Linked DNA regions of Lonchura striata. The protein of the gene in region 1 purifies or fractionates together with the protein of each later gene. This does not show direct contact. Links are inferred from orthologs where the notes say so. Each region holds a gene or a part of one and is shown in the gene's direction. Other genes may lie near its edges.

Evidence for each region.
Region 2: the proteins of VDAC2 (region 1) and FAM162A fractionate together in Homo sapiens (co-fractionation; 3 studies listed by BioGRID and IntAct, with this or other methods). This does not show direct contact. The link is inferred for Lonchura striata from reciprocal best matches to the Homo sapiens genes VDAC2 and FAM162A.

The regions. Positions count from the first base shown.
Region 1 is NC_134609.1:11,428,477-11,436,137, reverse strand, and holds the start of VDAC2 (non-selective voltage-gated ion channel VDAC2), read left to right. Parts: upstream 1-4,646; 5' UTR 4,647-4,811; intron 4,812-7,661. UniProt on the Homo sapiens protein: Non-selective voltage-gated ion channel that mediates the transport of anions and cations through the mitochondrion outer membrane and plasma membrane.
Region 2 is NC_134604.1:29,259,588-29,266,476, forward strand, and holds the start of FAM162A (protein FAM162A), read left to right. Parts: upstream 1-3,881; 5' UTR 3,882-3,997; coding exon 3,998-4,013; intron 4,014-4,981; coding exon 4,982-5,101; intron 5,102-6,889. Other genes in the region: protein MIX23, read right to left, coding at 1,724-2,023, 2,508-2,633, 3,649-3,699. UniProt on the Homo sapiens protein: Proposed to be involved in regulation of apoptosis; the exact mechanism may differ between cell types/tissues.

The DNA.
Region 1 (7,661 bases):
TGCAGCCTTCCCACAGCTGCATTCATGGGCCATGTCAACTTATTGGGGTGCTATTTTTATGGATGAGCTGTTCTAGCATAAAACCAAAAGTTCTTTTAATCCATCTCTGGGAACAGAGATCTTATTTTCTTCTTCTATTCCTAGGGCAAGGCTTCTCATTTCTTTCTGGTCAAACTCTTCATTGGATCAGAGCTACTGCAACATCTGCTTATTCCAACACTGATGGTTCTGCTCAGGGCTGTAGGTAGAACACTACATCTGCCCAATGCATTCCATGAATTATAGGAAAAAACTAGTTTGTTGTATCAAATATACCTTCACCATAGTCTTGCAAAAATAATTTTAGCCCACGACTAAGGCATCTAGTCAATCCCCTCCCTGCTAGAATTTGACTCCTTTACTTGACTTAGTGTCCCATGTTATTTTCTCGACGTGTATATTGTCTCTACGTATTTTCTCTACCCTTTCCTTTTCCTGACTCAGGGGAGAATTAGTGTTCGTAGGTTCATTTGCTCTTGGGCTTTATAAACTACAACAGTATAGAGTCCTGCAACATTTCAAGGCTGAATCTGTGCAGGCTCCGCCGCCGAGGAATCGCTGTGACTGTCGCTGCTGATCATGTGGCTCCCGCCAGCAGCGCAACCCGCGCAGGCTGCCGGCACCACCCCCGCGCCTTTCTTTCATGCGGGACACTGCAAGAAAGAAAAACGCTGCTGCCACTGCTTTTGTCCTTCTGTCCGCAGCAGAGCCGGTTAAAGCGGCTAAGCAAAGTCCCCTGCGAGTCACGCCGGGACAGCTGTGGCCGCACGGCACCGCTGCAGTTGTGTCCATTCGGACACGCACTCCTGGCCACGTCCGGGATGGCGCTGGCCACTCCTGGCCCCGGGGCCACCCTCAGCGCCGACCACAGGGCCACTCCCGGCGCTAGTGCTGAGTAAACCAAGTTCACTCGTGTGCCATGCCGAAATAGCCGAATAGCGTGGCCCCGGCTGCACGGCGCTGCCAGGGCTGCACGGATCCCGACCGAGCAGTCCCGGCCACAGGGCCACTCCCGGCCGTGTGGTTGCCTACGGCGCTGGGACAGTTCCGGTGGCACGGCCCGGCAGTAGCAGAAATCGCAGCGGAGCTGCGCGCCGAGCCGGCCACGTGGGCCCGGCCTAGTCCGGCCTCGCCGAGAGCCGGAAGCCAAAAGCCGCGCCCGGCCTTCGTTCGTGCTTCCAGCGTGCTCGGCACTGAGGCACGGCCAGCGCCTCACAGCCGGGCAGCTGATCGATTGGCTCCCCAAAGCGAGGCCGCTGATTGGCGCCTCAAAGCGAGGCCGCTGATTGGCGCCTCAAAGCGAGGCCGCTGATTGGCGCCTCAAAGCGAGGCCGCTGATTGGCGCCTCAAAGCGAGGCCGCTGATTGGCTCGGCCCGCACGGGACCCGCCCCGCAGCCTGCGGCCGGCCCTAACTGCAAGGCAGATTTCGTTAAACCAAGGCATTGCCTCAGCCCTAAAGTCACTTCTTGGTATCAACTGTGTGCCTCTGACCTAAGGTATTCTCTGTGTCAGATTATTTGAATGTGTTAGCTCCATTTGGGCCTGTTTAAAGCGTGTTTTAGAATCTGGTTTAAGTTAAACTTCTTCCTAGTAATTTAAGCTAAAATGAAAGAAGGTTACTTGAAGCTTCTTAGGAAAAAAATGGAAAGGCATTAAGTGTGTCAGTCTAAAGGATCCTGGCAGTGTAGGCCTCTGCTGATTGCCCTCTTAGGGCTTTCCAGAGGCCTAGTTTGCACATAAGAACAGTTGTAGGGTATCAGACAAAAGGTGTAGACAATCTAATATCCCTGCCTCTGGGATGATGAAGTGAGCAATTATTTAGGCAGCACACACCTATAATAACAATCCAAGAACAGGATAAACTTAAATGATACTTCCATTTGCAACTCGGGCATTTTCTGACTCCAAACAGGCTATATAGCAATATGTAATTCTTGAATGGATTTGTAATTAGTAATCCTTGCTGGATTTCTCTTCCACAAGCCTGTCTAGTTTCCCTGGAGCCCATATAAACATTTAGCTTCTGGTGTCAGGTAATTCCACTGGATTGCACTCTTTCATAGAAAAACTCTTGGCTTTGTTTATTCTGAATTTGTTTCTTGGTAGCTTCAACTATTTTCCACCCTTTCCCTGCTGGTTACACTTTCAGCATCTCTGCTATATGCCCTAAATCAGCTTGTTTCAGGATGCAACTGCTAGATCATTTGTAAGGCTTCTCCAGGGAATCATCAGCTGAACATCTGCATCTGGAGGGAAGATAAAGCAATGACTTCAGGCTCATGTCAGAAGTGAACGTAAGTTATCTGAACTGCATGGTGGACACTGGTACGTACTGTAGACACTTGCTCTCTTTTTGTTGCTCACATACGTTCTAAATTGTGGAGAGAGAAGCAGAGTTTTTGTTCAAATGACATTAAACTTACAGTGACCTGTGGGTTTTCTCCAAATGGTAGCAGTAAAACACGTGACTCTGATGTCAGTTATACGTAAATACGGCTGTGTTCGTACAAAATGGTAACAGTTCAACTGCAACTGGCCCCAAAACTGGAGAGCTGCTGAATTTCAGTAGAAAACCAGCCCATTCAGAGGAAGTGCACCTACATAGGAGGTGTGTGCACTAAGTGGTATGAAGAAATTGCTGAGAAGAAAGGTGCAGAGTAATTCAGAAGGCTTGCTATTGCAGGCCTGAAGCTGTGCCTTTTTGGGGCTCTGAGCTCGAGTAGATCTGCTAAGGCATGAGGCAATAAGGCATGGTTGTACAAGGCAGGGGCAGTGCAAGAGTGAGTAAAAAACACTGGCAGGCAAAGGCTGTTGCAACAGAGCCTGTAATGCAGAGGAGTTTGCTGTTGTGTCTCAGATTATTGCTTCTGCCTTGTCTCACAAAGCAAGTGATTCATTGCTTTTTTTGCTCAGGGCAGGGCAGTAATTACTTTCCTAGATTGCTAAAAATAAAGCCAAACCATTACTAAAATATTAATCTTTAAAGGGAAAAAAAAGGCAGAATGCTGATGTCTCCTATAAGCAACTGGACTTCTATTCAGAATGGATTTATTTATAGGACTGGTATGAATAATAAATGCATGTCTTTAAATAATGAGCAACTTATTCCACAATCTATTTTTACTTATTTTTACTTAATCAGATCTCTAGTTATTTTGAATGTATGTTTCCATGTACAGTAAGACACACTGGGTTTCTTTTCCTGCTGTTATTTATTTTCTCAGTATGTGGCTTTCCTTCTTGATTCATCAACACATATTTATCTCTGCAATGCCAAACTGTCTTACTTAAAACCGTCAGAATGAAACATCTCTTGGGTCTTTTGATGTGAAAGCATTGGACTTACACACACACACACACACACACACACACACACACACACAAAATCTGTTGCTTATCTTTTGCTATAACAAACAGGTGCAGACTGGCGTTATGTTGGGCCTTTCTACTAACCTGCTCTCTTAATATACTGGAAAATTACTGTTGTGCCATGTGTTCTGGAAAATGAATTGTGATATTATGTATTCTCTGTATCACACAAATATATTGTGTATTTGTAAACGAATTTTGCTTTCTTGAAGAAGTTGAGATCATGTCATAACCCAGGCAAGGAGAGAAGAATATGAGTTTTAGAAACGGTTATTGTGCAGTTCCTTGGCCTTGCAATGGTCTGCATTGGTGAATCGGCGATTCCTCCTGCTGCACAGTAGTCGTGTGACTGTTCTCCAGCTATGATTTCTGGTCAGACAGCACTGTCTGGGAAACGTATCTGAGGGTCACTGCTTCTCTCGGCCTGAGACACACTGTGCTTTTATGGGGAAGGTGTCTGTGGGTGGTGATTGGAAGAGGTAAAAACGGAGCTTAGGCAATTTGAAAGTCTGCGGCAACTTGTCGGCAGGAGGCTCGACACCTTGTTCGATGGGCTACAGCTGCCGGAGCGGCAATGGGACGGCCGTGCTGCGGGTGGCCCTGTGTGTCCGTGGCACAGAGCTTGTGAGGGGGGATGTGTTCAGTGCAGTGGGGCAAGGGCGAGCAGCCAGCGGAGCGATATGGGCACTGCAGCATCGCCCACGCTCGGCGGGCGCCGTTCCCCGGAGAAGGGAAGGGCTCCTGGGGGCTGTGAGGAGCAAGGCCCGCCATCTGCACAAAGGCCGCGGCTGAAGGGCGTCTCCCGTCCGTGTGCCAGCGCGGGAGGGGCTGGGCCCCGAGAGGGCGGCCGGTGCTTTCCCCGGCAGGGCAGCGGCGCCGGGATGCTGCGGCAGGCGCAGGCGAGGGCCGCCCGTCCCCGGAGGGACGAGCGCTGCCGCGCAGCCCCGGGCGGCTCCCGGGCGCGGCTCTCCCGGCCGCTCTGCGGCTCCTCCGCGCCCGCGGGCGGCCCCGCCCCTGCGCGCGCCCCGCGCAGCGGCCCCGCCCTCCCGCAGGCCCCCGCCGCCGTCGGGGCTGCCCGCCCGAGCGCCTGCCCGGCCGCGCCGCCGCCGTCCGGCTTGTGGCTCGGGGCTGCGGCACCTCCCGCCGCTGCCGAGCTCCGGGCCGCGGCCGCCGGCGCCTCCCGCGGGGCGGGGGTGGTGTGGCGCTGCGGGCGGGGCAGGCGGCGGGATGGGCGGCCCCGGCGCGCCGGGGTCCTGCGCGGCGGCGGCGGCGGGCGGGCGGATCAGTGTCTCCTTCAGTTCGCCCTCCACTGCCCGCGGCTGCAGCAGCGCGGCCTGCCGGACCACTCTGCCCGCCCCTGACCGGCCTCAGCCCTGCTCCGCCGACGACCCGCAACACGCAGGTGCCGGCCCCGGCCGCCACGGGCCTGGCGGAGCATGCGGGGGGGGGCGGGCGGGGCTCGCCCGGTGGCGAGCGGCTCTGAGGCCTCGTGGGCCGGGGGTGGCCGGGCCGCGGGCTCGTCCCGGCGCTGCCGGGTTCGCGGGGCGGGCGGCGGCCTCTCCGCGGCCGCTGTCCCCGCGGTGCCGCGGCCGGGCTCGGCTGCGCGAGGCTCGGCGGGCGGAGGTCAGGCCGGGATGCCCAAGATGGCCGCGCCGAGCGGGTCGGTTCACCTTGCGGCGGGGCGGGCGGCGCGCCCGGCCTGGGGCCGCCGCTCGGCCCGGCCCGGCCCGGCCCTGCCCGCGCTGCGGCCGCATCCCCGCTCGCCCTTCCCTCCGGGAGGCGCTACTTTACTGCCCCCGCCTCGCTTCCTGAGCCCGTAAGCTATTTCCAGATCCTGTCCTTAAAGTTTCTACCTTGGCCTGGCCCACATTAGGCTTCCGTGTCCACCTCCGGTTTGTGTGTAGGGAGAGCGTTAATGCAAGGGTAAGGAGGTGGCTTTTTTAAGCATCTGTAGTATCAGTGTAAGCCTGAAGGTCACCGTGTGTCCGATGTATTTTAACAAATTAATTTTTGAATAATCTCAGTTCTTTTGTTGCTATTTGTTGTGACACTGGGATAATTTCGGCGTAGTTTGTTGACTTTTAAATTGGTGAGTACCCTTTTTTCAATCTATTATCGGCTGATAGGGTTTGTAGTTTGATCTTGAATATCTTGAGATCTTGGGATTGTTAGAAATCCTAATAGAGGTCTGTGTCATTTTTTAATTGTAGAGCTTGAGAGTTTTGAAATACTACTTCCAAGGAGAACTGTGATGTAGTAATTTCAATAATACTAATACATTTTTCTGTTCTTTGGGTGATTTTCTTTTTATCGCAGAAGAAAGCGTGATTGTGGCTCCCGAGTGACAGATTAATTAAACTTCATCACGGTGGCATGAAACAAAGATTAGGGTGGAGCTCTCACTTGGCTCAAGTATATTCTGTACTTCAAGTCGATTATTTTACAGTTTTTACAACAAATCTCTAGTTGCTAAATGACGCTTGTTGTTTAGTGATTTGTAATTAGTAGTTTTTAAGTGAAAGGTGCTTCAAAATAGGGTTGAAAAAATTACTTGTGACTATGAGTTTGCAAGCCTATCTAACATTAAAGGACACAGGTCTGATTTTTTAATGGCCCTTTTTTCATTTAATGAGAGTTCTAATGGTGACATTGGTTTATCAGACATTTAGTATGTACAAAATTAACTCTTGCTTTCCTGTTTTGTCCTCATCCATCCCTGTCAGTGTTACAGTATAGTATTAGAACAGCAGTGTGACAGTTGTACTCTATTTCAACGTTTTATTACAAAACTTTTATCTGTAGACTGGAATGTCTGACAAATACTGGCTGGTTTCCCTGCAGGGGTAAGGATGCTTAACTAGGCCAGATAAAATGATAACATCCTTTTTACTGTAATAATCCTCTGAATTTTGACAGTTTGTTAACTTCTCAATACACTTCTGCTTAGCATAAATCTCTTGTCTGTACTGTTTGTCTAGTGCATTTGGAAACATTGAAAGCAAAAGGGAAAAGCTTGTTTATTTATACTGTAAAAGCATGTCTGTGGTAAAGGCTAATATAAAACTCCAAAACTAGAATTAATTATTTTTATGGCAATGCTAGTTAGAGGTGAGATCTGTTCATTAGAGGAAACGTGTAGCTGAACCTTGTCTATAATATGCTAAGGTGCTGAATTGTACAGGTGCTGTACAGGAGGACTGCAGGCAAGAGTTCTTGCACTCCCTTGTAATTGGTCTGTCAGCTGTTTTTTTTTATGGAAAACATAATAGGAGCCATTTAATGACTTGTCACTGGGATTAGGTTCTGTTCTTCTATAAACTTTAATTTGGGTTTGGCTTCTTTAAAGTTCAGATACTTTAGGCCATTTTCATGTCTCTTTTTAAAAAAAATAATGTTTAGTTTAACTCCATGGAAAACCAGACTTATTTTTGAACAAGTGATAGATGTCTTGATATAGTGACTGGCTCTAGAGTTTAGACATCTTTGCTAAACACGTTTTTCTGAATTTGTGTGTATGTGTGTGAAACTGATTGTAAATACTGTTTCTCAGAGGAGGTTGAAATTATCCCCTTAGGGCAATAGGGAGCTGAAGTAGGGTACTCTGGAAATCTGCATTATGAAATGTAGAAAAATAACGAAGAGTCTTCTGCCTCCCCCATTGATTACTAAATAGTTTGTGGTTTTTTTTTTTTTTTAATTAATAGCAGTTCATACAATTTGGCTGTATATGGCAGGTGTAATTAGAGTTTGGAAGTTAAGATGTGAGAACACTGCCATTGTTATTTTTCAAGTTCTAAAGATAGTTTTTTCATTTACTTAAAGAGAAAAATCACACAAAAGGAAGATAAGAAGTCAGTTATGTTATTCTGAGTCTCTCAGCTAAACAAATGTGACCAATCAGTTTGAGAAGATAAGATTTTTTGTTCTCATGTGTTTTGCCTTTTCATGGCCTTATCTAGTTTCATTTTGCCCCTTTTCACAGTCGAGGGGGAGTTACTAATATGCTCTGTTTCCTATATTTCACAACTTTAAAATTGCAGGCCTCTGTGACAGCAGCCTCTTGCTGTTGAAATCATGGGAAAACAGTCTTTCAAGGAAGTACAGATAAGAGTGTGTGCTCCCAGGGAGGAGAGTGATAGGGGCCTGGTGAGACCTTAGCCTGGAGTTTGTCCATAGGGCCAGAGGGCTGGGCCATGGCCCATCGGCAGTGGCAGGTTCTTTAACAGCAGGGTGGCCGGAGGCTCTGTCTGAG
Region 2 (6,889 bases), on another chromosome or scaffold:
ATTAACAGATTAACACTGATGGCTTCACAGGCACAAATAACTGCCCCTAAAGCAAGCACTGAGCACAGGGAATGCCAGGGCTGGGGTTTGCCCTGTAGCCTTGAGTTGCCACATTAGAGTCATATATGAAGCTGGCAGCAAAGCTACGACTCCAGCTGGGATTCTGGATTTAAAACTAAGGTATGAACAGACCCTCTCTGCTTCATTTGCCATCTAGTCAGTGCACTGACCAAAAAGGTTTGCAGTCTGATCACGTGTTGTTTGTGCTGTCTGAACCAGTTAGTATTTTATGTCATCACTGCAGGACAAATCAGCTCTACACAGATGCAAAAACTCTGGCAAGAACTACCACCAATACACAGTTTTTGAGCACTCACTTGACCTGTGAGGAGGGTAAGAATCTCTTTGTTTCACACCTATTAGAAACCCTGAGGGGCAGGTGTGACAGTTGTGTTTGGGTAATTTGGTCTTGAGGAGATTTAAGAACCATCTGCCATTTTGCCCAAATTTAGGATGTGTTCTTGTTGGAGTCTTTAACACAACAGACAAAGAGTCGGAGTTTATCCATTTTCAATACACGGTTCCAATTAGAAGCCTGGTGAACAGGTGCAAGCAAAGACAGCAATCCCACTAAAAACCTTCCAAGTAAGATATCCAAGGACACAGAGTTGCTACAGCTGTTGGATGCACTTTCCCCAGCTCAACAGGACTTCAATCTGTTTGAAATAACAATCCAGCATCCAGAGTGACTGATGACCAGGATAAGTATCTATAAAATAAACACTCAGAGGATCTTTAATAGTTCAAAGAAACTACTCCTCCGAGTTTTCTCATTCAGTGACCCAGAAGTAATAATTATGCATGAAGTCCTCCAAGTTGTACAACTAGCAGGATGAGAGAAACAGACATAACAAGGGAAAAGAGATCTGTATTGCAAAAAGTTAACAGGTATTTGAAATTCCCAATCTTAAAACTAGGATGTGTTCTGTCAAGATAGCTTTTCTGACTTGTAGAAAAAATGCAATTCTCAGTGTTTTGGAGAGCCAAAAAAAAAAAAAAGAAAAAAGTCAGGGGATCACACCTCATAGGGTCCAAGTACAAATCTGAGGTGATCTAATAAAAAATTTCTGAGATGTGTCTAAATCATGAATTGCTTTTAATATTTGAAGCAACCTCCAATCATTAAACACTTTTATTGTGATCCTCCCAGTGTTTCCAATAAGAGATTTTGGGCTCAGTAACTAAATGATTTAGCTGTGCTAACAAAATTTGTAGAAAATACTAAGCAACCACTCCAGTTTTATAAACTAATATCCATGCTTGTTGGCAGTTCAATAAGTGAGGCTTTAAGAATAAAACTGCTCATCTGCCACGTGGTTCTCTCAGTATCCTTTTCCTTACAAAAGCAGTCCTGGAAATGAGGAGAACTTCAGTGGGGTTCCCAGAATTCTCTCTCTCACAGCATCACAAGGTACTCCAAATATTAATCCAAGAAATACCAACCAGAAAAAAGGTTGTGCAAGTGGAATTCAAGGTTGCCTGGGAGCATCTTGTAGTGAACAGGAAAAGTTAAGCTGTGCCTTGGTGTTGTCAGTCAGTGAAGGTTAGAATCCACCACAGGAAAGAATGTGTTTTTCTACAGTATACATGTAAAAGAATCTCAGAAAATGCTCCAGTTGCAGGATAAAACCTCTCTGCCTTGAGGCCTTGGGAAAAATAATTCTCACAAGACCCAACAAGAGCCAATGAGAACTTTGGAAAAGACTGCTTGACTGAGAATCCACTGCAGGCTCTCTCCATCACACCGGTCTTTCCATTTGGGAAAGATACCCACTTCTACCTCTGTAAGTGATCTCTCAAAGGCTCCACCACTCACCTTTGTCTGTTCTTTCCTGAGTTGCTTTAATAATGCTGCATCTTCATGGGCCTTTTCCCTCTCTTCTTTGAGAGTTTTCACTATGGCAGAAGTCTGAGAGATGCAGTTTTTGATGATTCTTTCTCTGTTGGTGTGAGCATCCATCAACTAAGTGGGGAGAAAAAGAAAGTCACAGTGACTCAGAATAAAAACCTCTTAGTTATAAGTTTAAACAGACACTTCCTAAAGTCATGGTATTGCTGTGCCTACAGAAATCCCTTTGAATTCATAATCCACATGTGGGAAACAACACAGCTTTGAGCAGCAGCTACTCTCACCTTAGATTACCCTGTCGTTCTTGCTCTTACCAAGTTGATCAAAAGTCAAAGGTAAACATGAGGAGTCTTGCAGAGCAGCAGAAAAGCACCCTTTTAAAAAGATCCTCAAAGGATCAGTATTGCAGAACAAAGAACTGCCCTGCATGGTTTTAAACTGAAGCAGTGTGTGGAGATGATGAGCAGTGCTGTTAGTAATACACAAAGCAGGATCTCCCAGGGCAGTATTTTCCTCAGACACTGAGGATGCTTTACTGGCCACTGCACACGACAAAGCAGTGGGAAGAGAGCTGAAAGTGGAAGGTGTGCACACTCACAGACTCATACAGCTCTCTGCACGTCTGGCCAGGATCAACTTTCCCCACAAAGGAAGCTGTTGGAATCGTAGTGTTTAATTCATGAACAATTCTATCATCGATTGTCCTCATCACCCTGAGCAGCTCCTGTATTAAAAGAGAGAGATACTCGGTTATATCTCTCAGAAAAGCCTACTACAAAAAAAATTTGCATAGTTAAGCATTTTAATAGAAACTAAATAGGGTTCCTTACAAAGAGCTAGAAGCACACCGAAGGAGCAATCCCACATGCAGGAGTATGCGCTGCAAACCACGGAGTTTCCTTGGCAGCAAGGGCCAGAGCAGGGGTGAGTAACTGATGCCCCCTGATGTCCCCTGGCCCTGCCGGCAGCATGGACAGGCTGAAGAGCCTGTGCCCAAGTCCCCGACCCCACTTCCACACGGGAAACTGGCACCAAACCTGCACCAAAAAGGCAAACTTTGAATAAAACCCCCCTAGCATTCTGGGGACCGTGAAGCTGAGCTGGGGGAGGTTTAGGTTGGATAGCACGAAGTTTTTCACACAGAGCAGCAGAGCACTGGGACAGGCTCCTCAGGGCAGTGGCCACAGCAGCGAGCCCGACGGAGCTCAAGATGTGTTCGGACACCCTCAGGCACACGATGTGACCCCTGGGGCGTGCTGTGCAGGGCCGGGAGCTGGACTCGCTGGCTCCGGAGGGTCCCTGGCTACTCAGGACGTTCTAGGATTCCGCGGTGCAGACACAGCCGGTTCCCAGAGCCGGCTCGCCCCGCCGAAGGCACGGGTGGCCCCCGCTCCCTTACACGCCGCGGAGGCGCCCGCGGAGCTCCCGCCGCCCGCGTGGCTCCCGCCGCCCGCGTGGCTCCCGCGCCGCGAGCGCTGCGTCCCGGGAAAGGCGGGGAGGGGTCCGGCCGCGCTCCCGCCGGAGGGAAGGGAACGGGGAGGAGGGAAGGGGGAAGGGGAGGGGAAGGCCGGACCCGCTCCCTCCCGCCGCATCCCGCCGGCCCCGGCACCGGGGTCACCTCGCGCGGGGCGCGCTCCCGCGGGGCCGCTCGCGGGAAGCGCCGGGAGCGCGCGGGACGGGCGGCGGCAGCGCCCGGCCCGGCCCGGCCCGGCCCGGCCCGCCCGCCCCGCGCGGGTTACCTGGAACTCGGCGAAGTCCTCGCAGCTCGCGGCCCCGCCGGGCGCCGCCATCCTGGATCGGCCGAGGGAGCCGCGGCGCCCAATCCGGCGGGGAGCCGGGATGACGCGCGGGGCGGAGCGGGGCGGGCCCCGCCGGAGCGCGGCCCCCGGCGCAGCGGCCCCCGGCAGGGCATCGCCACCGGCAGCGGCCCCGCTCCCCTCCGCCTCCTCCGCCCGCTGCGAGCGCTCCGGCCGCCCCACCGGAGGCGGCGCCGGCCCCGAGCGCCCCGCGGCGCGGCTCCCTCCAATCGCGGGCCCGGGGCGGGGCCCGGCCGTGACATTGAGCTGCGCCCCGCGGGCCCGCAGCGCCATGTGGGGCCGCGCCGGTGAGTGAGCGACGGGGGAGGCGGGGAGGCACCGACCGAGCCCGGCCCGGGACCGCGGGCGGCCGGGACCGCGGGCGGCCGGGCCCGCAGCGCGGGGCGGGAGCCGAGGCGAGCCTGGGGCCGGGCCTGGCGGCCGAAACCCTGACGGGAGCGGAGCGGCCGTGCCTCGGCTTCCCTAAAAGGGCCAGCTTCCCTGGCGGTGTCGCCTGGAAATGTAAATTACTGGCTTTTCAGAGCGGGAGTACCTTATTCCGCGAAAGTAAAGGGCCTTAGGAGGGACAGCTTCAGGCAGTATAGCAAAGTAAAATAAGAACTCCTTTTATATTTTTAAGTGCCGTTTTTGCCTTTCTGAGATTGGTTGGTTGTTTGGAGCTTTTTCCTAAACTTTTTCATTATCTTAATTAATGCATTCGAAGTGCCTACTGTAAAGTATGTGTGCGTATATAAGGTGTCCTGGCTTTTCTAATGTGCTACAAAGTAGTTACCTCTCAGTGCTAAATATTATGCTTTTTTGACTTTTTTTTTTACTTGACTCTCAATGCTTTTGGCATGTGACAAGATTGATAGAATGCTGGTGTGCAGTCCTTGAAATAGCACCATCCAAAGTGTATCTGAAACATTTGTATAGATTAGTCCCTGGAAATTGTAATGTGTTTTAGAAATTGCTAGCAGGACATTATTTTGCTTCCCCCCCCCCTCCCCCCCCGCAAATGAATGTAATTGCATTCACATTTTTCTACATAAGATTACTGAGCAAGCTCAAGGCATACCTTATAAGCAAGTTTTCATTGGTAGGCTATTACAACTAAATCTGGTACTTCTTGCCTTCACTTGTACCTATTGGTTTTCTTTCTTTTTTTTCGTCTTATATTAAAAAAAACCCAAATGCTTCCATTTAAAAGCTGGTTCCCACTTTCTACTGCTCTGAGTTAAACTTGGCTTTTTTCTTCCTCTGCTTCCTTTTCCAGATAAGGCTGTTAAACTGCTGGGAAGAAATATTCCCTCAATTCTGAGGATGACCGAGGGAGTGGACCTGAAGATAAGCAGAAGGCTGTGCATTAAACCCCAGCAAGACCTTCAGTCAAAGCGTAAGAGTCTTTGATAAAGTCATGGAATGTTTCATGCCACAGAATACTCACATATCCCTGCTGCAATCATCTGAACAGGAATTTTGCTGATATAGGTGATCATATCCCTGATTTTGTGAGAGTTCTGGTCTCTAGACTGAAAAAATGGAGCATTAAATTTGGTAGTCTTGTTTTCTAACAAAAAGACAGGGGTCGATGTTTCCACTTGTGAGGGTCACACAGCATTCACTTTGTAGCAGATCACCAGAACCTTATCTAGTGCACACTCCTACACTGAGGCTCCTCAGCTCTGCTCTGGAACTGCTTCTTCAGACCCACTGTAAACTGTTCATGTTTAGAAATGTTGTGTGAGCTAAAAGACTTTTGCAGTTTTTTGGAGTGCAGCTGTTCCAAAAACTCAATGTGCCCTGCAGGGAAGAGTCTGAATTGTTCACATTTAAGGGTGTAACTGGTAAGGGACATCTCAAGCGATTAAACACTTTTTCACTATTTACAGGACAGTTTCTGTGCTCCCTGTATCACAGGCTTCTTATGGCACACCCATGCAGGAGAAAAGGAACACACAGATGTGAAGCATTTGGCATGACTCTGTGTTAAAAACATGAATGAGCTGTACTGGGTAGGAAGGTCTCCTTAAAAATGTGATGTCTCCAGCAGGGGCCAGTAAAGGAAGTCCCTTGCATTTTTGTAAAGTGGGAATAAGGAAGAGAATGGGAAGAGGGTTCCTGTATATCACTGCCCCAGAGGTGGCATCTTGGCGTTTAATAGTCCTCACTGGATTTCTTTTTCCCCAACAAATTTCCTGATGCTGGATTAGATGTATTTTTAGCATCCACATTCTCTAAGAATGTGGATCCTAAAGTTCCCTAAGAATTTCTTCTCTAAGAAGAAATTCCTCAGCTACAGTCTTGTGTTTGTTTTTTTAACCCAATGTGCACTTTTTTGTAATCGGATTTTCCTTTATTCAGTACCCTTTCTATTAAAACCCACACTCCTAATGTCTCTTATAATGCTCTGCTGGGCTGAAGAGAGCTTCAGTCACTGCTTTTCCAGGCCAAACGGTCTCGGTCTGTGACACAGTTTCTTACACGATGTCCATGCCATACCTGTGGCTGTCCTTACCAGGGTTCTCTGTGCCTGTTCTCTTTTAGCTCCCTCTAAGTATTTCCCATGCTTTTCAGAAAGCTGGAGTGAATTTTTCACAGAGGCTCAGTAATGCTGCTGTGTTGGTCAGAGTTCCTGATCAGGGGCAGTTATGCTGTTTCCTGTTCTGTTGCTTGCCAGAAGCACTGTGGAACCCCAAGGCCTTGCTCAGGCCTAGGTAATGATTTGTAAGCAAGGGCAGAGTCTGTCACTTGTGTGTGAACTGGAATTGCTTCCTGTTTATGGACAAGGGAGTTCCCAGGCCAATTCATTGACTCTGAGTTCTGAAGCCCCGTGGCATTTTGGGCTCAGCCCTTTTCTTTGTTTTTGAATAAGCTGGTGCTGTCAGCAAACTGTATCCACCCCACTTCCTACATAATTCATGAATCCATGAGGGAGAACATGGCCATACAGGATACTGCCTATTGTTTAAAAGGAAAAAGCTGTCTATCTTTGCACTTTGTTTCTTAGATTTTAATGGTATGTTATATATGAAAAGCTTCCCCTGTTACATTATGGATATTTTGTTTATGGAGTTTGATAGACTGACCTGATAATTATGCGTCCAATCTTTGCCTATGGTCACCTGTTTATTTTTACCTTCAGATAAAATCTTACACTACCTGAAAATGTTGACATTTTGTG